Regions from separate parts of the Mus musculus genome. Here all the other regions are reported to be linked to region 1. Evidence: microRNA targets listed by miRTarBase, many of them from high-throughput screens and not tested one by one. Region 1 holds a microRNA gene; each other region holds the end of a gene's coding sequence.
Evidence for each region. The annotated mature microRNA mmu-miR-758-3p reads UUUGUGACCUGGUCCACUA and lies in region 1 at 3,018-3,036, shown strand. An mRNA with a match to its seed (bases 2 to 7 or 8) in the 3' UTR can be bound and repressed. Matches are read on the target gene's strand: a 7mer-m8 pairs with bases 2 to 8, a 7mer-A1 pairs with bases 2 to 7 and ends in A, and an 8mer does both.

Region 1 (4,740 bases):
CTCCTGCACATTAGCCCCCTGCCGTGCATGCCCTTATGCCTACTGTCCCTGAGTGCCCATTCCTTCAGCACCCGGTAGGCACTTCAGCAGCATTTGTGGAGTAGTAACCCCCACAGCATCGTTTGTCTGCAACCTTTATGAGCTTTTGGAAGAGCTGCCGATTTTGGGGATGAGTTGCTGGTGTCAAACCTGACATGAAGATGAGACTCTTGGCTTTTGTGTGCCTGCCGCATGATGCATGCTTTGTGCCCAGCCAGACTCAAGATTCCACCAGCTCAATGGCCCAGAGGGCTTCCTGGACGTGCCCTCAGCCTTTGTCCTCGGCGTCTCTGTGTGGTACTTGGAGAGATAGTAGACCGTATAGCGTACGCTTTATCTGTGACGTATGTAACACGGTCCACTAACCCTCAGTATCAAATCCATCCCCGAGGCCCCTGGAGAAGATGCTGTCTTCGGGGAGACGCCAGTAGACTCATCATCAGGGCTTCTCCATGATGCTGGAAGAGATGGTTTTCAATATGGCGTGTGTTCTTTCCTGCATGATGGGAAATGACATAATCTCCCCCTTCCTCTGCTGAGCTCTGCCTTGGGAACTCTTGCCATCTCTGGGGAGGAGACCACAAAGCTTTCTGGGATCAGTGCTCTTCGTGACCTCAGTGACAGGGGTGTCTAGGCGACTCTTGGTTAGTAGACTCCATGACCTGCTTCTTCTCAACACCATCCCTGAAGAGGTGTCCTGAGGCAACCTGGCAGACATGAACCTTCTTACAGCTGTCCTTGCTGTCACGCGGTACTTGAAGAAATGGTTTACCGTCCCACATACATTTTGAGTATGTATGTGGGACGGTAAACCGCTTCTTGGTATCCAGCCCAGCCATCCAGTCCATACCATCCTCGAGCAAGCCTGAAGTGAGAGAAGAAACGTTGTTTTGGCTTGCTCTCTACATCGGGCTGCTTGGCCAAACATCCCTCTGCTTTTTGTGTGCTTTCTCTGTTAATTCATGTGGCAAGGTGTTCCTGTCAGCTTCAGTGCAGCCCTTAAGGGCTTCTTCAAGGATGATGACAACCTCCAGGAAGGTGTCCTACATCCCAACTGGGCATGCTCCCTCCCTCCTTAGGACTTGAAAAAGTGGCAATTAGCTCCACAGATGCTCATCATCAAGGGATGCTGCGTGTTTTCATCATCTGCAAAGCTATCATCAGATGCCTTCAAGACATTATGCCCATAGAAGGACAGCTAGGGCTACATGATACAGTGCAAAGACAGATGCATGAAGACACAGTCCCTGTTTCCACTGATGCTTCGTATATAGTATCTTTTTTTCCATATCAAGTCTAGCCTTCTAGAGGAAGATGACCCAGCCTGGCTCCTCCATGTATGCTTACAGATCAAAGTTGCTTCTTGGCTCACTTCTTCTTACCTCCAGCCCAGCCTTGGAGAACTTGCTGAAGATGCTGCTAGCCTCAGAGACAGGGCTCTGGTTCTTGCATCAGCAATGACCTCACGGTACCTGAAGAGGGATCAAGCAAACTGCATGTGTATTATTAACACCATTTGTAACCTGGCCTACTCTTTTCAATATCAACTTCAGCTTTGAAGGTTTCCAAAGAGGCCCCATTAACCTTGGGGGTGGGGGGGCAAGGCAGAAGGACAAATGCCTTGGGGTAGAGGTTGTCCATGCTTCTTGCTTTACTTACAGCGCATGTTAATTTGGTCCACCTTCCCATAATAGTGAATGCGCCTTGGGGGCTTCCTGTGAACAATATTTCCTTAAAGGCACAGTGCTAGTTACGGGGTCTTCTCTTCGCGTCCTTGCAAACTTCTCTTTGCTATATTCTCTGCATCTGCAGCAGGCAATGCATGGTGGTCTCTTTTCAACATTGCATCTAGGGTTTCCTGGAAGTGATAATCATGAGGAAAGAAGCCAGCTCCTGCACCACCCTCTCTCCATGGTACCTGAAAAGATGGTTGACCATAGAACATGCGCTACTTCTGTGTCGTATGTAGTATGGTCCACATCTTCTCGTTATCAAAGTCATTCGTGAGGGTTTTCCAGAGACCGAGCCAACTTCATGGGAGATATCCTGTCCTGGCTTCAGCACAGTACTTGGGGAGATGGTAGACTGTCGAGTGTGTGCGTTAATTCCAGCATGTACAGCATGGTCCACCACATCTCTGCATCAGCCGGTCACCAGGGGCTTTCTGAAAGCCATACCAATTGAGAGTAGGGCTCAGGCGGCAGACCCTATCCAACACAGATTACCCAGTGCTTGGCTACAGGCCATGTTCATTACCTACGACTCTGGCCATTTGATCCAAAGCCAATATTTGGCACCCAGCCCAGCCTTACAGGGCATCCTGGAAGTCATAGTGGCATTAAACATGAGTTTGTGGCCATTGCCACACATGCCGATTGCTGGTAGTTTGTGACACTCATTGAGAAGGCATTTTGGAGGTAACACCAAATTAAGTAAAGTGAGCTGGAATCAGCCAGCGTTACCTCAAGGTATTTGAAGATGCGGTTGACCATGGTGTGTACGCTTTATTTATGACGTAGGACACATGGTCTACTTCTTCTCAATATCACATCTCGCCTTGGAAGACTTCCAGGAGGTGACATCTGCTTTGAGGAAGAGCCAGTGTCCCGGTCTTCCTACTGCTGCTGCTTGGTACTTGGAGAGAGGTGGTCCGTGGCGCGTTCGCTTCATTTATGGCGCACATTACACGGTCGACCTCTTTGCGGTATCTAATCCCGCCTTGCGAGCTTTCCTGGAGCTAACACCAGCTGTGGGGTGGGGACACTAAATGTGTGTGCTAGCGCAACCCAGCCAGCGGGTTTGTCTTTTCTTGTGTCTGACAATAACTCTTGTGTGGCAGCCTTCTTCTCAGCAAATTTCTCTGGCTTGGCAGCTTCGTGGGCAGGGTGACTTGCAGACCAGGAAAGTGGCATCGACATGTGATACACGTGTGGGTGCGTGAGGTGGTTGACCAGAGAGCACACGCTATATTTGTGCCGTTTGTGACCTGGTCCACTAACCCTCAGTATCTAACCTTCCCTTGGAGAACTTCCTGGAAGAGATCTCAACTTTTGGGGACAGAGGCAATAAGCCAGCTGTACGCTGTTAGACTTGGAGACAGCATCCTCAGTACTTGCAACATATGTGCCTGTTATGGTAGTATTGGATGGGCTTCCAATGCTGTCCTATACTTGGATCCCTTCCTTGATATGGGGCCATCCAAGTTCAAGAAACGTACCATGTTGTCAGACATGACCAGGGTGTGTGTATGCCATTTATATATGGCACAGGTCGCAGGTCACCTTAGCACACTTGCATGCTAAATCTGTGGGAGGAATCATCTTTGGTTTGGGGGCATCTGTGCCTTTCTGTGGTTACCCAAAATGGTGGTAAGTCCTATAGCCAGTCTCTACTGCGCCACTGCTCTCTGGTTGTGACATAACTTCAGGATCATGCCATGGAGGTCTGCTGTACTGGGGCATGTGATGGGATGGCTGTCAGATATATATCAACTAATGGCTTGCTTGAGCACTTTGACTAACATCCAGTGTGCAACCCTGCATTCAACAGGCCTGCCAGGTCTGAAGGTCACGTTGGGGAATTACCGAGGTAGTCTTGTCAGTGTTCGCTTCTGGTACCGGAAGAGAGGTTTTCTGGGTCTCTGTTTCTTTGATGAGAATGAAACACACCCAGCTAACCTTTTTTTCAGTATCAAATCCCATCTTGGAGGCTTCGTGGTCCAGATCCCAGTCTCAGGGAAGGATGGTCCTGTCAGCATCCAGCCAGGGGACAGGAATAACTGGTTCTCCACAAAGCCAGCGAGTGGATTATCGTTCTGAATGGTGTCCTTTGTCCTCTAAACCCTCCCAGGCCTGCCAGGTCTGAAGGTCCAGTTTGGGAAGGTGTCATTGTTATTGTTAACTGAGGATGTGGAAGAGGGGTTTCTGTGTTTGAAACACATTTGGTCAACCTCTCTTCCCATCAGAACAAACTATGGAGGCCTTCTGGTCCATACCTCAGCCTCAGCTGAGGACACACTAATAGTTATGAACAAGTGAGTGACGGACAAAACCCATCCCATACATCAGATTTCTGTTGCCTGTGCTTCTAACCTTCAGTATCTTGTCCATTCTCAGGAGGACTTCTCAACCAATATGGTGTTCCAAAGTTGGGGAAGATGGCAGCCACCGAGGCAACTCTACCCCAGGTCATCACAGGTAGGTTGCACCCACTTTGCTTCTAACAGGTTAGACACAGCCACCCCCACACATGTCCAGCATGCTTTGGAGGCACGGTGATGGGCTTTTAATCAGCCAACCCCTGCTATAGGACTGTCTATTGTAGAGAACACCCACTGTGTCAGATGGTACCTAGATCCATGCTATTCACACACACCCACATCCTTGTAATAAGAGACTTGGAATCAGCAGTGTTCTAGCAGTAGGAAAGCAAACCTGAAATTGGCACACACATTTGCCCAGTGAGCTTTAAGATATGAAATCTGGAGCGGGGCAGTGGTGGCGCACGCCTTTAATCCCAGCACTTGGGAGGCAGAGGCAGGTGGATTTCTGAGTTCGAGGCCAGCTTGGTCTACAGAATGAGTTCCAGGACAGCCAGGGCTATACAGAGAAACCCTGTCTCGAAAAAAACCAAACCAACCAACCAACCAAACAAACAAACAAATAAACAAAAGATGTGAAATCTGTTCTTAGTCCTTAACTC
Region 2 (4,740 bases), not on the chromosome of region 1:
GCAGGAGCTGGAGGCCGAGTTGCTGGAGCTGCAGCAGATGAAGCAGGCCAAGACCTACCTGCTGGCCCGGGAGGAGCACCTGGCTGAGGCTCTGCTGGCGCCCCTCACTCAGGCCCCTGAGGCCGATGACCCCCAGCCAGGCAGTGGAGATGACTCTAATGCCCAGGATGGTGTCTCCTCGCCTGCCGCTTCCCCCAGCCACGCAGTGCGCAAGAGCTGCAGTGACACGGCGCTCAATGCCATAGTGGCCAAAGACCCAGCCAGCCGCCATGCTGGCAACCTCACGTTGCATGCCAACAGTGTGCGCAGGCGCGGTATGTCTATCCTGCGGGAGGTGGATGAGCAGTACCACGCGCTGCTGGAGAAATACGAGGAGCTACTGAGCAAGTGCCGGCAGCACGGTGCCGGAGTGCGGCACGCGGGGGTGCAGACCTCACGGCCCATCTCCCGGGACAGCTCCTGGAGGGACCTACTGGGGGGCGAAGAGAGCCCGGGAGAGGGCAAGGCGGGTGAGAAGAGCCTAAGCCAGCACGTGGAGGCTGTGGATAAGCGGCTGGAGCAGAGCCAGCCGGAGTACAAGGCACTCTTCAAAGAGATCTTTGCCAGGATCCAGAAGACCAAGGCCGACATCAACGCCACCAAAGTCAAGACACACAGCAGCAAGTGACCCCTCTCTAGGCCTGTCGCCTCCCTCCGCCTCCCGACCAGAGGGGTCCCTCATGCCTGGCTGGCAGCCTCCTGGCAAGTGAGAAAGCCCTTTATGCAGCAATATATCATAGCAGGTGGCTGGGGACACTGCATATTCCCTGCTGGTGGCTCGGCTCACCTGTTCTGCCTCCCTTGGCCACTTTGCTTCAGCTCAAAGGCACAGCTCAGTTTAAAAGCCAAACACACTCCCCACCCCGCCACTGCCACTCCACCACTGTCCCTGGGGGCTTTTCAGCTCCCCCAGCCCTCAGCTTCTGGACCCCAGGCTTCACCCTCAGATTGCTGCCAGTCTTCTGCAAGCCTTTCTAGCTTTGCCCTCCAAAGTTGTTTTTGTTTTTTGGTTTTTTTTTTTTTTTTTTCTGAGAGATTTGCAATGCAAGGCCTCCTGAAGCCTTGTCACAACTGGAAACACTTGAAAGGGGACCTCAGAGCCAGCCATTGCTGGTGTCTGGAGTCTCCCAGACCACTCACTGCTTCTTGCCAGTTATGACTGTCATTCCCTTCGCACCAGCTGTACCACTCCCAGAGGTCTGAGCAGGCCACAGATAGCCCCCACCTTGCAGAGCAGGAAGTTTAGCCAGGCTCGAGTGTATCCCCTCCAGCCCTGGCAAAGGGCTTCTGCTCACCACAGATCTATAGCCAGTCTGAATAGAGGAAGAGAGAACCCCACAACAGCCATACACGGGTAGTGTCCCTTTCCTCTCAGAGCCAAGTTCCATTCCTGGAGTTATCCTCTAGGCATGAAGCCTTCCAGGGGCCGGGATGGTAGGGAGTTTCACCCCTTCCTCCCTCCCCAAGCCTGCAAACCACCTTTGCTTTCATTCCTTTCTCTGCGCCTGCCCCCATCTCAGGGACCATGATGTCTCATCCAGTCCTCTCTTCCTCAGGCCACCCAGGGACAGTTCACATCTGCAGCCTTCAGAATGTCCTGTAGGAGTGTCACCAACCCAGGTCCAAGTGTTCATGCCTGTCCTTCACCAGGGACTGTAGGACCCTTACTTGTTTTGTTTGGTTGGGCTTTGATCTGTTTTTTTGTTTTGCTTTGTTTTGTTTTGTTTTTTTGAGACAGGGATTCTCTGTGTAGCCCTGGCTGGCCTGGAACTCACTCTGTGGACCAGGCTGGTCTCCAACTCAGATCCTCCTGCCTCTGCCTCCCAAGTGCTGGGATTAAAGGTGTGATCTACCACTGCCGGGCCCTCATGTTGCGTTGTGTTCTTAAGTTGAGGAAGAACTGTCTCCTCTTCCACCTTTCTACAGAATGCCTCTTCTTTACCTCCCGCCTCTATGGGGATGACTTTTGAGGCCCCACCTGGGTCAAGGGTTCAGTATTTTAGTCTAAAACTTCAGAAAGTCAAGCATCACTTAAGACATGCCCAGGGCTCCAGCTTGCCCTCAGCAGTCCTTCAGGACTTCTGGTTCCTTCCGCCACCCTTCTCAAGATTCTAGAAATCAAAGGAGCCATACAATCCGGCAGGAGGCAGTGACTGTGGTCTCAGTGCTGGGAGCCCAGGAGGAACCGTCATGCCTTACCTCCTTCTAATGGGTAAAGGGGCTTTCTTATCAAGCATGTCTGACATCCCTGGAGAGGCTACGCTGTTCCAGGTGGCACTGGGATGCCAGTTGGCAGCTGGATCCTTCTGTTCACACGACTTGGAACCTTTTGTCCTTTGGGGCTGGGCACCTCCAGACCCTCTGTGTGTCCCTGTCATCTGGGGATGGGGAGGAATTCAGGCCTGTTCACTTCCCCAGTTCTGTAGCAGCCGATCAGCGTCACCTTTGAAGTATACATGAGAGAAATATATTTACAAATGCTTTATTCTCTTCTTTAATAAAAAGTGCACCGGTATTCTAGAAGTCCAAGTGACCCTGGGTCTATCGTTTCGCCTCCGAGTCTCACGGGCCCCCTGCCCCTTGCCATGCAGCACTGCGGATGACGGGTGTGTCCTTTGAGGTTGCTTTGTGCCCTGAAATCTCAGCGTTCTCATGACTACTCACCTATGATTAGACAGCCTGCAATCAGCCCTCAGGAAAGTCTGTGTCTATGAAGAGCCTGCTATGCCAAGCACTCTGGTCAACAAAGCACAAAGGGTCTGGATCGCCCTAGAGTTTACTTTCTGGCTTGGGGAGAGTCCCCCCAAAGCAACTACAAATAAAAGCAAGTGACCTAACAATGGGGGCAGGAAGGTGGAGCTCTATCAGACACAGCATTCATGATCAACAGTGTGGGGGGAGTGCTTGTCATTTTGAGACAGGATCTCATGGACGTTAAGTTAGACTGAAGCTTGCTATGCAGTGAGTGATGAGGGTGGCCTTGAACTTCTGACCCTCCTGCCTTTACTTCCCAAGTGCTGGGATTATAGAAATTTGCCACTACGTCCAGTTTCTCTGGTACTAGGGATTGAAGCCAGGGTTTTGTACTTGTTAGACACTGTCACTGGACCACACCCCCAGCTTCTTCCTCCCCCTCTCTCCCTCTTCCTTCTCCTCTTCTTCCTCCTCCTCCTCCTTTCTTCTTCTTCTTCTTCTTCTTCTTCTTCTTCTTCTTCTTCTTCTTCTTCTTCTTCTTCTTCTTCCTCCTCCTCCTCCTCCTCCTCCTCCTCCTCCTCCTCCTCCTCCTCCTCCTCCTCTTCTTCCTCTTCTTCTAGACATGGTTTCGGGACTGAAGAGATGGCTCAGCAGTAAAGAGTACTTTTTGTTCTTGCAGAGTACCTGGGCTCGGTTGCCAGCACCCAGATCTCAATTATCTGTACTCTAGTTTCAGGGGATCCAATGCCTTCTTCCGGTTTCTGCAGGCACCAGGCATACACATGGTACACATATATATACATGCAGGCAAAACACTCACACTCAAACAATCAAACAAATGAAAAAACCCAGACAGGGTATCACTGTGTACACCAGGCTGGCCTGGAACTCAGAGATCCACTGACCTTTGCTTCCCAAATGCTGGGATTAAAGGAGTGCACCACTGTGCCCTGACCCCACCTCTTATCTTAATCTGTGTAGATCGTAGATACAATATATGAGAAGACAGGTTTTTAAAAAGTCATAGAGCGACCCACAAAATGGCTCAACATGTAAAAATGACTCTATGTCCTCTGACTTCCGCAACAGCTTTGGCATGTAAAATAAATGTAAAAAAATAAATGTAATTTTTTTTTAAGTCATAGAGGCCTGCTGTAAGATGGCTCGGCATGTCCTGGTAACATGAGTTTGGGCCCCAGAGTCCATGTAAAGTAGGAAGGAGAGAAGCCCACTCCTCGAAGTTGTCCTGACCCCCTCGTGTCCACAATCACAGGCGTGTGCCTCCACACCAGGCCTTCACTTTCTTACTGCACTTAGAGTAGGCATGCCTTTCTGAAAGCTTCAGGGACCCAGAACTCTTGGTCGCCACCCTCATCCCTGGTTCCGACACTCCTAAGGTCTCGTTGCTTCAGTCTTGGGTCTCAGCATCATCACACGGAACAGGAGATGCCTGTGACCATTCTTGTCCGGTGTCCCTCTATTGTTATTGAGAAATGATTTTTGCCAGGCATGGTGGCACATGCCTTTAGTTAGGGGGCAGAGGCAGGCAGATCTCTGTGAGTTCAAGGCCAGCCTGGTCTACAAAGTGAGTTCCAGGACATCCAGAATTGTTCCACAGAGAGATCTTGCCTTGAAGAATCCAGGAGGAGGGGTTTATTATGCGAAATAAGTGTGCTGGGCTGTAATGTTTAGCCCCTGTGGCCTTACAGGAATTTGCTGGGACTTCAGAGCTTCCATGGTACTGGGAGTTTAGGTGTACAGCTTATCACACTTGGCTCTGCCTTCCCTTTTCAATAGCCTTCTTTTCAAACCTACTTAGACAGTTTTCACCTACAATTTTTTTTATTGTGAAAAAATATATACATATTTAGAACTAGCCTCCGGGGCTGAGTTTGGATCGTCCCCCTTTTGCTGGCAACACCCAAAGTCCCGCTGGTGAGGAGCCAGTTGAGCACACGCCCTCTTTCAGTCCAGCTGGGAGGTGTTGCTCAACACCAACCACACACA
Region 3 (4,740 bases), not on the chromosome of region 1:
GGGAGAGGGAGGGAGAGGGGGAGACTGAAGAGAGAGAGAGAGAGAGAGAGAGAGAGAGAGAGAGAGAGAAAGAGAGTGCTAACTTAGAATGGTGAGGGCTTTTTAAACCTCAAAGCTCACACCCCCACTGACATACTTCCTCCAATAAGGCCACACCTCCTAGTCCTTCCCAAACAGTTCAATCAACTGTGGAGCCAAGTATTCAAATATGGGCCTACAGGGCCATTCTCATTCAAACCACTACATTAGGCTTGGTGGCAAGCACAGTCACCTGTGGAGCCATCTTCCTGGCCCTATTTCTTTTTAAAAAGCAGTAATTTTCATTACAAAATGAAACTATAATCAAAAATTAAGGTTTACTTTTCCTTTAATTTTAGTTTTCGGTTTTTCTTTTCTTGTCTTTTTTTCTCTCTCCTTCCTTATTCCCTCCCTCCCTCCCTTCCACCCTCCCTCCTTCCTTCCTTCTTTCCTTTCTCTCTTTTTGGAGACTGAGTCTCATTCTTGCCTTGAATTCTGGATCTTCTTGCCTCCGTCTCCAAAGTGCTATGATTAGAGACGTGCACCAGTGCACACTTGGCTGAAAACTTAATGGCCTAATACCCATCTCACAACAGTTTTCCTCTTCAGCTAGTACCAATAAATGAGGCCTTTTCAACTTTGCTCTTTCCCAGCAAGGGGGTTAAGTGACATACTGGAAGCAGATGAATGCATATTTTAAAATGCATTTGCTTCATTTTTCTTTATTAAGCGTTTATTATATATCTGGCACTGCTGTGAAGTGAATTACCTCAATCCTAATAACAGGGTAGTATTAAGTCCCTACTACACAGAGAATTAAAATGGCAAGAGCCAAAATACCTGGCTTCAATTCTGTCTCCATCCTGTATCCGGAAAACAGATGGCAAGTTATCTGTATCTCAGATACATTCTGGGAAAATGTCCCAGAGAGGCCCCAAGTGGGATGAACTACCTCAGGCTCTGAAGGGGAGAGGAATGGTCACTACCTCCTCTGGCTTTGTCTGGGTCTCTTTGGGCTTCATTTCTTGGTAAAGAAAAGGAGTAGAAACCTGGTCTGCTGACTGCCTCAGTTTACCATGAGACCCATTGATAGTGACTGTAGCAAACCACCCTCGCCTGAAGCAGGGATGGATGGCTAAGCTGAGATCTCCCCCTGCTGCCACTGCTGTGCCTGAGCTTGGCCAGCTGCTACACTTGTTTCCTTCTTGCTTCTTCTAATACTTTTATAATAGAGCCTCCCAATTGAGGGTTCCTACAGGCTTAGCAACTACTGTTATTAAGCAATTTATGTGGAAAAACTGAGTGAGTTCTGAAACAAGTTGGAGGCATGTTACTACTATCTTTCTACAGAGGGTTATTGTTGTTCAACCAGGGGTCGTTCCAAGCTCCTTCACTGTTCCCTCTGAGGAAGTGGCAACATGCAAGCTGGATAACTTGGCCAAACCCATAGAGCTGGTAAGCTACCTGGCACCCCTATCGATTCACCTCTATGTCCCCAATGGCCACACGGAGATCTCCAGGCCCAGAAAGACTGCCACTGGGAATGATGGATAGGTAACTGAGTCCTCTAAACCTTGCAATAGTCCAGCCTCAGCGGCTAAAGAGCTAGAATTACCCGCATGCATTTCCCAGTTTGTGGGGGACAGGTATGTGAAGAGATGCATTTGCTGCTGGGGCCTGAACCCAGGCAGAGCCTTGTGCATGCTGGGTAAGTACTCTACCACTCAGCCTGTAACGCTAGTACTTAGCGGTTAGGCTACTTTGAGGTTTAGCGCGTATCCCCAAAGGCCTTGGGCTGTGCGGGTTAGCTCAGTGGTGACGCTTTTACCTAGCACATTAAGTCACCTCCTGTGGGTTTTAGAGAGTGAAGATCAAATCCCCACAGGTGAGTAACTTGGAGTTCATTTTGAAGACCATCTATCTATATATAGCCTAATGGAATTGTTTACATTTTTTAAAGATTTATTTATTTTTATTTATATGAGTACACTGCCTCTGTCCTTAGACACACCAGAAAAGGGCATCGGATCCCATTACAGATAGCTGTGAGCCACCATGTGGTTGCTGGGAATTGAACTCAGGACCTTTGGCAGAGTAGTCAGTGCTCTTAACTGCTGAGCCATCTTTCCAGCCCCCTAAAGGAATTGTTAAACATTGACTATTTTTAGCTATTTACTGTCTGAATAACCTTGAAAACATTTTATTGTAATTAACTAAATGAGAATCTAATATGACCGTGCGTTTGACTATCTGACCATGAACTTACATTACTTAATTCTAAACAGTTTGTAATAGCAGCTATCGAAAGGCCTGGGTCTGAGCCTTGTATTCCCCAATGAGTTGTATAGGCACAACTTCTATCTAAGAGTAGCACAACTAATTTTAAATTTTGTATCAATATACAAAGATTATGGCTATAAGATGCTTTAGGAATAAATGTAATAATCTATCCCTGTTTGTCTAATTTCTTATAATATTACTCTATTCCCATTTTCTCTTTTTAACCCCCTTCCCTTTACCTAAGAAAGAAGGACAGAGGAGAGGAAAGAAAGACAGAAATCCTTGAGTCTGAGCTCTCTATTTAGTTTCCTCCCTGGCCAAAACTATAATTATTTGTGAATTATCCCTTAAAATGACAACATATCTATAATTCATAAAGTGACTGAACCCATCCACCCCAACCTCGGAGACCGAGATGATGGTCTTTCTCTATTTGCTTCCTGTTGACTTGGGGCGACCCGCCAGGTCAGGTCTGCAGTGAGTCTGAGGAGGAGCATTCGGGAGGGAGTCAGTTAGGACTTATTTCCTAGTTCTGCTGCTTTTATGAGACTGTGGGTAATTTTCTTAACCTTTTAGGACCCGCTGCTTAAGTTAGCCGGGGACACTAAGGGTGCCAATCCAAGAGAATTAGCCACAAAGAAAGACTCTGGAGTCCACATGGTAAATTCTGTTTCCAGGGCATCTGTGGTGAACACAAACATGAGTCTAGTGCAGCAGGCATCCTGCGATTGCTGTTTCTACGGAAAGCAAGCCTCACAGGATGCAAAGGAAAGGTTATCTGTCAGGGATAACTAAGGATCTTCCTGGGAGGGTGGAGATGCAGCTCAGACGGTAAAGATTCATGAAGCCCCCGGTTTGGTCTCCAAGACTGCATTTGATCCTCGAGACTGCATAACTGTGCATGGTGTGGTACTGACCTGGAATGCTAGCACGGGGGAAGGGCAAGTGGATCAAGAGTTCGGGGACATCCTCAGGCACAAAGGAAGCCGAAGTCCAGCCTGGGCTCCCGCAGGTCACGTTTCAAAACAATGAAATAAAACCTAAGCCGTAGGTACCTAAAATGAGGTTATTTCTCAACCCCTTATCCCTGTAATGGAGGATCAGGGAGTTTTTGGTGGCAGGGAGGACAGGTGAGAAAATGAGACTAGAATTCCTACTCTCTGTCACTTTGACCCAGAGACTGAAAGGACAGAGAGGAGAGGCCCTGAAGATACAACTTCCCAAAGCTGTGTCCTCACCCCAGATTAGCTTTCTGATCATATCTGTATCAAAAAGGCACTAATGTGAAATCCAGAAAAACAAGAGCAAGAGTCCACACACATGTAAACAGCGTACTTAATAAGCATTTAACTTCTAGAAAGCCTGTGTGATTGGACTCCTAATTGTGTCTATGCTTACATAAAAAGGTGTATGGAATTCCAATTTAACTTAGATGTGGAGACCTCCACCCTCCACCCCCAAACAGGGTTTCTCTGTATAACTTTGGCTGCCCTTGAACTCGACACTCAAACTTGGGCACAGGCCATCAGATCTGTTGTCTTTCCACAATGACTGTACATACCAGGGAGCCTCATGGTGAGAGAGTAGCAGACTCAAGTCATGCTTGCATGTGCTTCTGCAGAAGCCATAAACATGGAGAATGTTTATAGACCCAACTTGAGTTAAAGTTCAATGTGCATATGCATGTATGTAGATACATACATACACATGCATAGATATACACACTTACATATATACATATATACATCTGCATTCATGTAAAGAAATAAAAACAAGATTTATTTCATTTCATCTTCCAGTGAGATTTCAGGAAAGAAGGAGAAAGGGAATATAGGAATATACTTATTCCGAGAACCCAGAAAATTCTCAAGATTTTTAAGTCTAGCTGCTGACGTAAGTGTACTTCCCACCTGGACTGACGTCACTGTCACTAGTGGGTTTTCTTCTCCACGTTCCGGATTTCCTTCTTCGTCTTCACCTTATAGCCTTCTCCCTGCTGGAGGAGAGCACATGTTACGTGTTTGCAGTGGAAGAGTTTGAAAGCAGTTTCCCACACTGATTCCTGGAGGCTGGATTAGGAAGGAGAAATGGGTGAGAGCACCAGGCCGTGTCGCATCCTCAGACACAGATGACCTTGGCTTTGACTGCACAGAGCAGCTCCCCAACATGCCACAGCATGCGTCAGCACTTTCAAGGTAATGACAGCATAACGAGACTTCATAACAACACGGAGGGTTAATGGTTTCAAAGAGCAGTCAGCCTGTTTCCTAACATAAGGTGGAAGAAATTGCTAAACATACCCACAAAGCACCTGAACCCCAACCGTTAACGATCCCCATTGGTTGTAGCTGATGAGATTTGTAGGTCAGCGGAGCCATAACTAGTCTGTGGTAGTGTGACTTGGACTTCCCAAATAAGCACGAAGCTAGGACAAAGTGCCCT
Region 4 (4,000 bases), not on the chromosome of region 1:
ATGGAAGCCAGCTCTACACAACCAATATGTGTGCTGGGCAATATGAAGAACTGCCCCACAAAGTCGTAGCACCAAAAGTAGAGAATGAAAATCTCAACCAAATGGGAGACCAGGAGAAACAGACATCTTCCTCTGTGGATATCATTCCTGGCTCCTGTAACTCAAGTAATAACTCCCATCAGCCCTTAACATCACGAGCCGAAGTGTGTCCCTGGGAGTTCGAGCCCCTAGAACAACCAAATGCTGAAAGAAGCGTAACTTTACCTGCCTCCTCTGCTTTAAGTGCAAATAAGATACCAGGGCCTCAGAAATAGGAAGTCTGGGACACTTTCAAAGTGGACCACCCTGGGAAGAAAGGGGTAATCCCGAGTTTGATAAAAATAGATCTGAAAATCACAAGTTACCAAGGCATCTTTGTTAGCCTAGGGAAACATGGCACATAGTGCAGTAAGGTGAAGGCAAGGGCTGGAGAAGGCCAGAAAAAGGCAATTATGCATCATAAGAAGGAAGGCTGACTCTGCCATGAAAAGCCAGATCAACACTGGAGGACAGCTTAGCATTTCCGCCTGTTTAAGGGACATTGCCCTGTCTGTCTTTACACATGGGATTGAATGGTACCAAGCAAGATTCACCAGGAGGCATGGAAGACAGACGCATGGATTTTAAGATGGGAAAACTTAGATAAATGTGACTGTGATTCTAAGTAGCTGACTGAAAAGCCAACCTTCATTACCTATTTAACCTTGGTAGCACTGCTAACTTAATGCACCCTGATACCTTTTATATACACGATTGCTCTCATTTTCTTAAAATCTGTTCCAGTACATTGTTGTGTCTTGTATTCAAGCATTCCAGATTGTATAATTTTTGCAAATAACTTTGATATTATATGACACAACACATTTATGCAATCTGCAGCTACTCAATTGTCATTGCAACCTACCAAATACCTGCTATCATCTACCAAGTGTGGTTGAGTCTTGGAGTACAGTAAGCTTTCTCTGGCTTAGGAAGCCATAACAGTTAAGATGAAAACTTTTAGTTTGGGCTGTGGTTTATATAGTGAAGTTGGGTCTGACTCTTTTGTTTCCCACCATGGCTTGTTGTAATGTCTTAATTTTTAAATATAAGTTGAGTTGCTTATTCTACACTTCTTGTAGGGACTCTGAAGCTTTATTAATCTCGGAGATGAAGTGGTCCTGTTTAGTCATATGTCTCAGTAAGTTAAGGACAACTTATCCATTGTTTGTTCCAAGTCAGAGCTAAATCAACCCAATGACTCTTTCAGTATTTCACATTAGCATTTCCTAAGGAAGAAGCCGAATGAGGAAACTATGCTGTACATTGTTACCAACAGAAGAGGCCAACTCTAGGAGCGCCTTAACAACGAGTGCATACTGCAGGTCCAGGAAATTGCCTTTCATGACAAATACAGAAAGGTCGCTCCTAATAGCTCCAGGGATTATTTTTATAAAGAGAAAAATTAATGATAGCATCAAGATCATTGTATGGATATATTTTTATTATGCATACTGAAAATATATTTTAAATTACCTTAAACTATTTATTCTCATAAACTTTTATTCATTGCTTCATCTAGGTACAGAATTTGCTGGGCTCAAATCCCAAAGAGATTTTATAACTTGATTTACTCAAAGCCCATAGGTGGTACAGGCTCTTTACACTCCCCAGTACCAGAACTTACAAGTCCTTCAAACTGTCCTTGCAAGCCACCTAGCTCAAAATGCAAAGCCTAAGATTGGTGTGCATACATCAAAGCATATCTTCTAGAACTTGCTGCATTCCATGCTGATCTCTAGCATAAACATCCTGAGCTTCTGACTTAGCTCTAAGGATTGCAATGCCGAAATAAGACTCTAAAATCCAGGCACATTTCATTTAAAGATCTATCACTTAAAACTACAGCCCAGGCTTGATTTTCTCCCATCATAAATACTAAACAACTGCTTATGTGACGAAGACATTTCCATCCATAGGAACTGTTTTACCTTTGGTGAGCAACAAAAAGAATTTGCTAGGATGATGCAGGAGGGGAGAAGGAATCAGAAGGTGGATATAAGGCTGTGCTTATGCTTTGTGTCTATCATCAAACTTTGCTCAGTGTTTACTTTTGTATTCAGGAGAAAGCAAGCACTTGAGGAGTTGGCAGAGCTGGGCATACCCATTTGCTTGCTTCATTCATTACTCAGGTTGGTGGGCTAGGTTTGGAAATCTATAGAGATTTTATTGCTAACTGCTGCCTTCATTAATCCCTATCATCCCCACCCTTCCAATCAAAGCCTATCTACTTTGTGACTTTAGAATTCTATTTTGAGGAGCATTTGTGAACTTGGCTTAGAGTTTGTAGACTTGCGTACTTGTTTCACTTGTGTCTGAGAGCTGTTAGCACTAGATTTGCCTCAGAATTAAGCAGGCAACTGTCACTGACTTCACTGCACTTCAGGGTGACCCTGCTTGATGTGTGGCTCACAGAAGATTTGCCAAATTATACCATAGTGACAGTCTGCCCCTGCCCCCCATAGATTACTCTCCACCGCCACAAATCAGCACAAATAGCTAGGTTCTTTCCTAGAGCTTCATTTTCATAACTTATCACCAAAAGAAATTGAACTCTGTCATTCTGGAAGCTCTTTTCCCTGGCTGAGAACAATAGAAAGTGCATACAGTGTGAAGGTCTCACAAACATTTGCTAGGTTGTCCTTTCAATGCATGTGCAGGCTGCACCCTGTTGTTGTTTTAAGCCAGGGTTTATAAATAAGTAGATTTATATCTGTCTTAATAGAAGTGTATATTTTATGCAAGAATTAAATGCTTTACAACATAAATTATGACTTGACCTCTCGTAAACTTCGGTGGCAATACGGATTGAATCCCGACAGTTGTCTTGTATTTGCTTCCTAGGTTTCTGCATGCGAGTGGTGATAGGTAGGACTGACAACACACTGCCTTTGACTTCTAGCACTTAGCAGTCAAGAGTTGTAGAGTCAACAAAGCTGTAAGTCTCTTCACTTAACCTGTGGTTCTTCTAAAACTATTATCTAAATCTACAGCATCCCACCATGGAATACCTGGTAATTTATGTTGTGATGTGTTGCAGCATGTAAATAACTATAACTTCTCTGCAATAAAACATTTATATGAAAATGATTGGTGTGTTCATGTCTCAAAATTTGACCATATTTATGCAACTTATTCAAAGGAATTACATATAGCTTTATGACATTGGTTCCCTCTGTGTATGTGTGTGTGTCTTCTTGTTGCCTTCACAATGCTATCGCATTGTGTGTATGTGATGTTAGTGAGTTGTTTGTGTGTGTGTGCATCTTCTTGTTGCCTTCATAGTGCTGTTGCATTGTGTGTATGTGGTGTGATTGTGGTGTGTTTGTGTGTGTGTGTGTGTGTGTGTGTGTGTGTGTGTGTGTGTGGTGTTCATTCGGGTCCTAGTTTCTTTGTTCTAAATTTAAAATCTGTTGAAAGTTCTTCACTAAAATGTTTCGATAAAAATGTATTTCACCCCACATAAGCTGGTCAAGATGTTATGTATTTTATGACATTTTCCACCATGAATATTTGCAAAGACATTTGCAAAGAATATTGCTCCAATTTTGGGCTATTTTTCTTTTTAAACATTTGTTCATAGAAAAGTGGAGGGCTAAGTTCAGGAACACTGTATGTTCAAATTTACCGTTAACTGAGGAGAAGGCAGATAATGGAATGTTTAAGCAGGTTTCTAATTTCTGTCTCTTCTTTTGTGGTGTGAAAGCCATAAACTTACAGAAATAAAACTGTCTAATGAAATGAACGTGGAAAATAGGAGATAAATATAGGATAAAGGCTGTGCTACTGAGTACTCACAATCTAGAAAGAAAAGTAAATGGGGCATGAATAAAAGTCCATGGCAGTCATGTAGAAGATACCACTGTTTCAATTCAATCAACAACAGAAAAGATAAATGGGGGTGTTTGTGGATAAAAGAGAA
Region 5 (4,740 bases), not on the chromosome of region 1:
GCCGCAAGGGCCGCAAACACACCGGACACTCGAGCCGGGAGGGGGCGGGGCGCGCCCCTCCCATCGCTGGGGGGAGGGGTGGCGGGCACTAAATATAGACTTCAAGGACTGCCCGGGCAAAGATTGCCTGAGCCTGGCGGGTCGTGCCTCAGGGGGTGTGTAAGTGGGAGGGGAGGACCAATCTGGAAGAAGGGGCTCTTCTCTTCCAACTCTCCTAGGGGTGCCCCAGGCTCCAGGGAGATTCGAGCATGAGGGTTCGGGGGTGATGAGTGTCAGCATAGCAGTGGGAAGTACAGAGCTGCCGGGTCTCAGCATCACTGCGCTCCCAGAGGGAGCTATGCCCAAGCTGGGAAAGTTGGTGAATTCATCGCATCTTGGTGCAGATTTTGACGTCAGCTCTGCCCTAACTTAGGTAGGCTCCTTGGTGCGCCCAAGGCCTGTGCCGTACACGTACTCGCGAGGTATACTCAGAGCCCTTTGCCGGCCAGTCTTTATTTTTTCTAACAACCTCTCAAAGGGGTATCGGGACCACGCTCCGAAAGACTAAGTTTTGGGTGATTCCGGTACACAGGGGGTGGGCTTGGAAGAGTAATTTGGGGTGGAGGGAATAACTCTGCCTCCCACTCTCGGCTCGCGAGCGGTAATTCCAAGAATTCGCTGAAGACCTAGTTCCCCTCCTGACAGAAAATGACCTTTCTGCGAGGGTCTCTGATTTGAAGCGGGGCAGAAGAGGGCTCACAGTGTGTGAAGGAACTTTCTGAGATAACCTCAGAGAAACAAGTCTGGAGCCTGTTGTGGACACCTGTCTCCCAACTGCTGCAGTGTGATGACGGTCAAGGTTTTTTGTTTTTTGTTTTTTTTTTTTTTTCATTCGACAAACGGTATCCAGTCAACTAGCAAGAAAAATCTCAGGGGCGGCAGGCTGGGCAGAATAACCATTAAAGAGGACTGTATTCCTCACAGCTGGGGTGGGGAGAGGAGGGAGAGAGGGCAAGTGTAAGGCCCAGCTGGGGCCTCATCCCCGTCCCAAGAAGTGAAATTTATTGCCTCAAAAGGCAGAATGGAAGTTTGGGGGAGGGGGAGGTCTGTGTAGTCGGTCAGGCCGCAAGCGGTTATTCTATTTACTGAGCTCCTACTGTGTTCCAGGTATTTCTAGCGTCCTGAGCCAGACGGCTCTCCTGGAGCACTCAGAGAACAAAGCTTGGGGATCACTGACATGTCAGCAGGGGGTGGGGAGGTGAGGAGGTGGCCGGGGGAGGAGCTGAAAAGTCCTTGGCTATAGCGGAGTGTTGTGGAGAGGTCCGGGATGGGTCCGGAAGGGCGGGGCCTTAACACCATGTGGCCAAAGCCAGGTTTTTCTTCAGTGGAGCTTCTGGGAGGCCTCTTGGCCAAAAGAAGCTTGAAGGACCCTAAGAAAACGCGTCAGACTTTATTATGCAAATAGAAGAGTCAATCTCAGGAAGTGGGAGGCCGCCTCCTCGGTACAGCCAGCATTTGCTGGTACCCATTGTATCCCTTCTGCCCACCTGTCCAAGAGAGAGGTCACCTGCACACAAAGATGCACACAACTGTCTTATTTCCCTGTGAGCTTTGGGGGGGGGGGGCAGACAGGGAACTGATACCCTCAGAGGGGTTTCACCATCGGTGGTAAACACCCCATTCTTTACTCTCAAAGGGACAGCGCAAAGGTATTTGCTAACTCACTATGGCCCTGCCTCAGTCCCCAGAATGCTGGAATTACAGATGTGTGCAGCTGTGCCAGCGTCTTTTATGCTTGTGTGTGTGTGTGTGTGTGTGTGTACTCGGCAGGAGGCAGGCAGCCAGAGACTGGTGGTGGTCTCAATTGCTAGCCTCCTTATGTTTTGAGACAGGGTCTCTCACTGAACCTGGAGCTGCCCAGCAGGCTTCCGGGATCCTCCAGGGTCTGCTTCCACAGAGCCAGGAGTCTGGGAGGACACTGTGTACTTAGCTCTTGGCATAAGCCCTGCAGATTCGAACTCAAATCCTCAACCTTGCGTGTTGTATGGCAAGCACTTTCCCAACAGCCTTCTTCTCTGTCCTTCACTGCTGACAAACCTTTTCTGTTTCATTTCTCCCCTTGTTATGCATTCAGGGCTCACCTCACAAACTCCATTACCCAACTCATCATCTCAGGGCAACCAAGAGGGGGTGTGGTCGGGACCATGGGTGAGCCACGAATCAGGTCCTCAGGCTCTGGCCCAGTGTGCTTTTCCTGCACACCAGGGGTTCTGAGCCTGGCTGCTGACAACATTTTGGATTGGCTAGTTCATTGCTGTGAGGATAAACCATACCATGTGGGTATGGGTTTTTTTTTTGTTTTGTTTTTTGTTTTTTTGTGAGACAGGGTTTCTCTGTGTAGCCCTGACTGTCCTGGAACTTACTCTGTAGACCAGGCTGGCCTCGAACTCAAAAATCTGCTTGCCTCTGCCTCCCGAGTGCTGCAATTAAAGGTGTGTGCCACCACGCCCGGCTCATGTGGGTGTGTTTTGAGTGTGTTTTCTTCCTTCCTGGTGTGGCAATGTGGAAGGGTGAGTGAGCCTTTAAGGGGCAGCGCCTAGTGGAAGGCAATTATGTGAGGGGCTCTGCCTCTAGGGAGTGAGTTCTTACAGAAGTGAGATTCTATAAATAAAGCAAATTGCGATTACTGCACATAAGTGCTTGCTTTCTCCTCTTTTGTGATGTTGTGACAGACGGGGCCTTTTACAGGGCATTCATGGCATGCTGTTTGGACTTTCCAATCACCAGAACCCTAAGCCAAAGAAAACTCTTTACTGTAGAAAGCACCCAGCCTCTATCGTTCCGTTACAACGACACAAGACAGATTAAGAGATGCTGTAAGGAGGATGCTGAGGGCACCCTGAGCTCAGCGATGCCCCCTCCAGTCCTTGCCTCACCAAATGTCTCCTGTGGCAAAACTCCCTGTTGTTCTCTGACCACTACTCTTTACCAACCTGGCCAGGGAAAGCATCCCAAGTCCCAAGAGTCTCCCAGGGGAATTCGTCCCTTCCCCCAGGAATCCTTTGATAAGTAAAACAGTAAGAATGAGATGAACACAAGTTGACCTGGGGCTCAGAAACAATCCTGTTTTAGGACCAAGGACCACAGCAGCCTCCAGAGTGCACAGTTCAATTCCTAGCCACACTGCTGGCTACTCACTTGGTGCCCTCTGGCCTCCCCTGTTCGGCTTGGCCCACCCCTGCAGGCCCCACCACCAAGGAGGTGTGAAACAGAGCTGTCCATGGTTGTTGGTGGTCTGGCTTTGTAATTGGACTAAGCGATGGTGGGATTTCTGGCCCTAGAAAGCAGACTTTTGAAGTTTCTCTTATCTTCCCAGCGCCTTTCTCCTTTCCTGATCCCTCGTTCCCCCAGGCTTCTGAATTCATCGAGAGAAAAGTGAGAGAAATGAGATAGGTCAACCCAGACCATCCTTTTCCTTTCTGTGAAATCAAGGCAGGTGAGTCATATTCTACTTCCAGACGGAGGGACACAGTACAGACCCCAGGGAGGGTAAGGCTGCCCTCTAATGGAGCATACTTTAGACTGGGAGTCACAGGCCTTGGCCACCGGAACTGGGCTGTAACAACTGCAGTGACCAGACAGGAGACCAGCTGAGGTCAGTCCCGGCCCTGAGCTCAGAGCCATCCCTCTGCAACCTAGCTCTGCTCCTTCCGAGTCAGTTCTTGAGCCCAGCTTTCCAGTGAGGATCCGCACCTGCGGGATGTGTGTCCTATTCATGTGGCATCCATAGTACCCAGCAAAGGTCTGGACATAAAGCTGGACTTCGCTAAAGAAAGTCACCAGATTGATAAGTGGCCACGAGACAGCACCTGGGCATGAATGATGAGAACGGGTCCCACGCTGGTAGGGAGAAACACAATCCTAATATAGTAGGTATTGAGAGTTGTGTAACTTAACTCAACCCAGACATTGTCAGATCTAACTCCAGGGCTGCCTGGCTCAGGACGTCAGCCCCAACACAGAAGGGCCAGTGTCCTTGGCAGGGTCATGGTTCCCATAAGGAATGTGAGCTCCCAGATCTGCGGTCTCAAGTCCCAGCTCTGAATGTTGGGGTCCAGTGTGAGCCATGCAGAGGGGTCAGCAAGGAGCTAGTCGTGCAAGAGTTGCAGGGAATCCGGGAGAACCCCGATCTTTGAGCCATCTCCTTCCACGAGGCCAACCTGGGTGAAGAAGGATGAAGCTGCCAGTTAAAGCTTCTTTTGCATCTTCTCTGGGAAACGGCTACAGTCAGGCTCGAACTCACACAGTCCTGGACTAAGCAGGAAGGTGGCACCAAGCTTAACAGTGGCTACCTCAGCCCACGGTGTTGTCACCACGGAAAGAGGTCTCCCTCCCCTCTCTGCCTGTTCTTGAACCAACTCTACAGCCCAGGCACCTACACTTCAAAGCATACACAAGTGCGCCTACCGGAATGTGCCTTCTACTACACAGAGGCTGCCGGGCAGAGGGACTGTCTTCCAGACTTCGGCCTCCCCGTCTGTAGGATCGAGTGCTCTCTGAGCTGGAAGGCAAAGATGACCGGTTGTTAACTCTGCTGGCGGAAGCACCGCAGAGGGACCCAGGTAGACAAACAAGGCTGGGAGGGGGGGGGGCGGGGTGAGGAGAATCAGAATCCACCAGGCCCCTAGGCTGGGTCTTCACAGGCCCTGGAGGTCTGGAACTGACCTCTCCCCAGAGGGCTCTGAGGGCACTCCTAAGTCC

Region 2: the mRNA of Cdr2l is a reported target of mmu-miR-758-3p. Seed matches in the 3' UTR shown: 7mer-m8 at 1,104-1,110.
Region 3: the mRNA of Ank3 is a reported target of mmu-miR-758-3p. The part of its 3' UTR that is shown has no 7-base or 8-base seed match.
Region 4: miRTarBase lists Gpr158 as a target of mmu-miR-758-3p. Seed matches in the 3' UTR shown: 7mer-A1 at 2,698-2,704.
Region 5: miRTarBase lists Asap3 as a target of mmu-miR-758-3p. Seed matches in the 3' UTR shown: 7mer-m8 at 2,703-2,709, 7mer-A1 at 2,694-2,700 and 7mer-A1 at 2,354-2,360.

The regions. Positions count from the first base shown.
Region 1 is chr12:109,709,841-109,714,580 of GRCm38, forward strand. Mir758 (microRNA 758) reads left to right here and starts at 2,970; the gene lies at 2,970-3,050. It overlaps Mir411 (microRNA 411), which reads left to right and starts at 335; the gene lies at 335-416. It overlaps Mir299a (microRNA 299a), which reads left to right and starts at 798; the gene lies at 798-860. Mir299b (microRNA 299b) reads right to left here and starts at 853; the gene lies at 805-853. It also overlaps Mir380, Mir1197, Mir323 and Mir329.
Region 2 is chr11:115,393,571-115,398,310 of GRCm38, forward strand. Cdr2l (cerebellar degeneration-related protein 2-like) reads left to right here. Exons shown (of 5, transcript NM_001080929.1): 5 at 1-2,562. The coding sequence ends at 667. Gm32013 (a long non-coding RNA gene) reads right to left here. Exons shown (of 3, transcript XR_880312.3): 3 at 3,869-4,740. Among named protein-coding and RNA genes, the nearest start is that of Gm32013, 5.3 kb to the right of the region's middle.
Region 3 is chr10:70,015,122-70,019,861 of GRCm38, reverse strand. It overlaps Ank3 (ankyrin 3, epithelial), which reads right to left. Exons shown (of 43, transcript NM_146005.3): 42 at 4,209-4,294. The coding sequence ends at 4,229. Among named protein-coding and RNA genes, the nearest start is that of Ccdc6, 80 kb to the left of the region's middle.
Region 4 is chr2:21,827,380-21,831,379 of GRCm38, forward strand. It overlaps Gpr158 (G protein-coupled receptor 158), which reads left to right. Exons shown (of 11, transcript NM_001004761.1): 11 at 1-3,165. The coding sequence ends at 314. Among named protein-coding and RNA genes, the nearest start is that of Gm39766, 13 kb to the left of the region's middle.
Region 5 is chr4:136,243,248-136,247,987 of GRCm38, reverse strand. It overlaps Asap3 (ArfGAP with SH3 domain, ankyrin repeat and PH domain 3), which reads right to left. Exons shown (of 25, transcript NM_001008232.2): 24 at 4,447-4,540; 25 at 1,415-4,199. The coding sequence ends at 4,128. It overlaps Tcea3 (transcription elongation factor A (SII), 3), which reads right to left and starts at 31. Exons shown (of 11, transcript NM_011542.2): 1 at 1-31.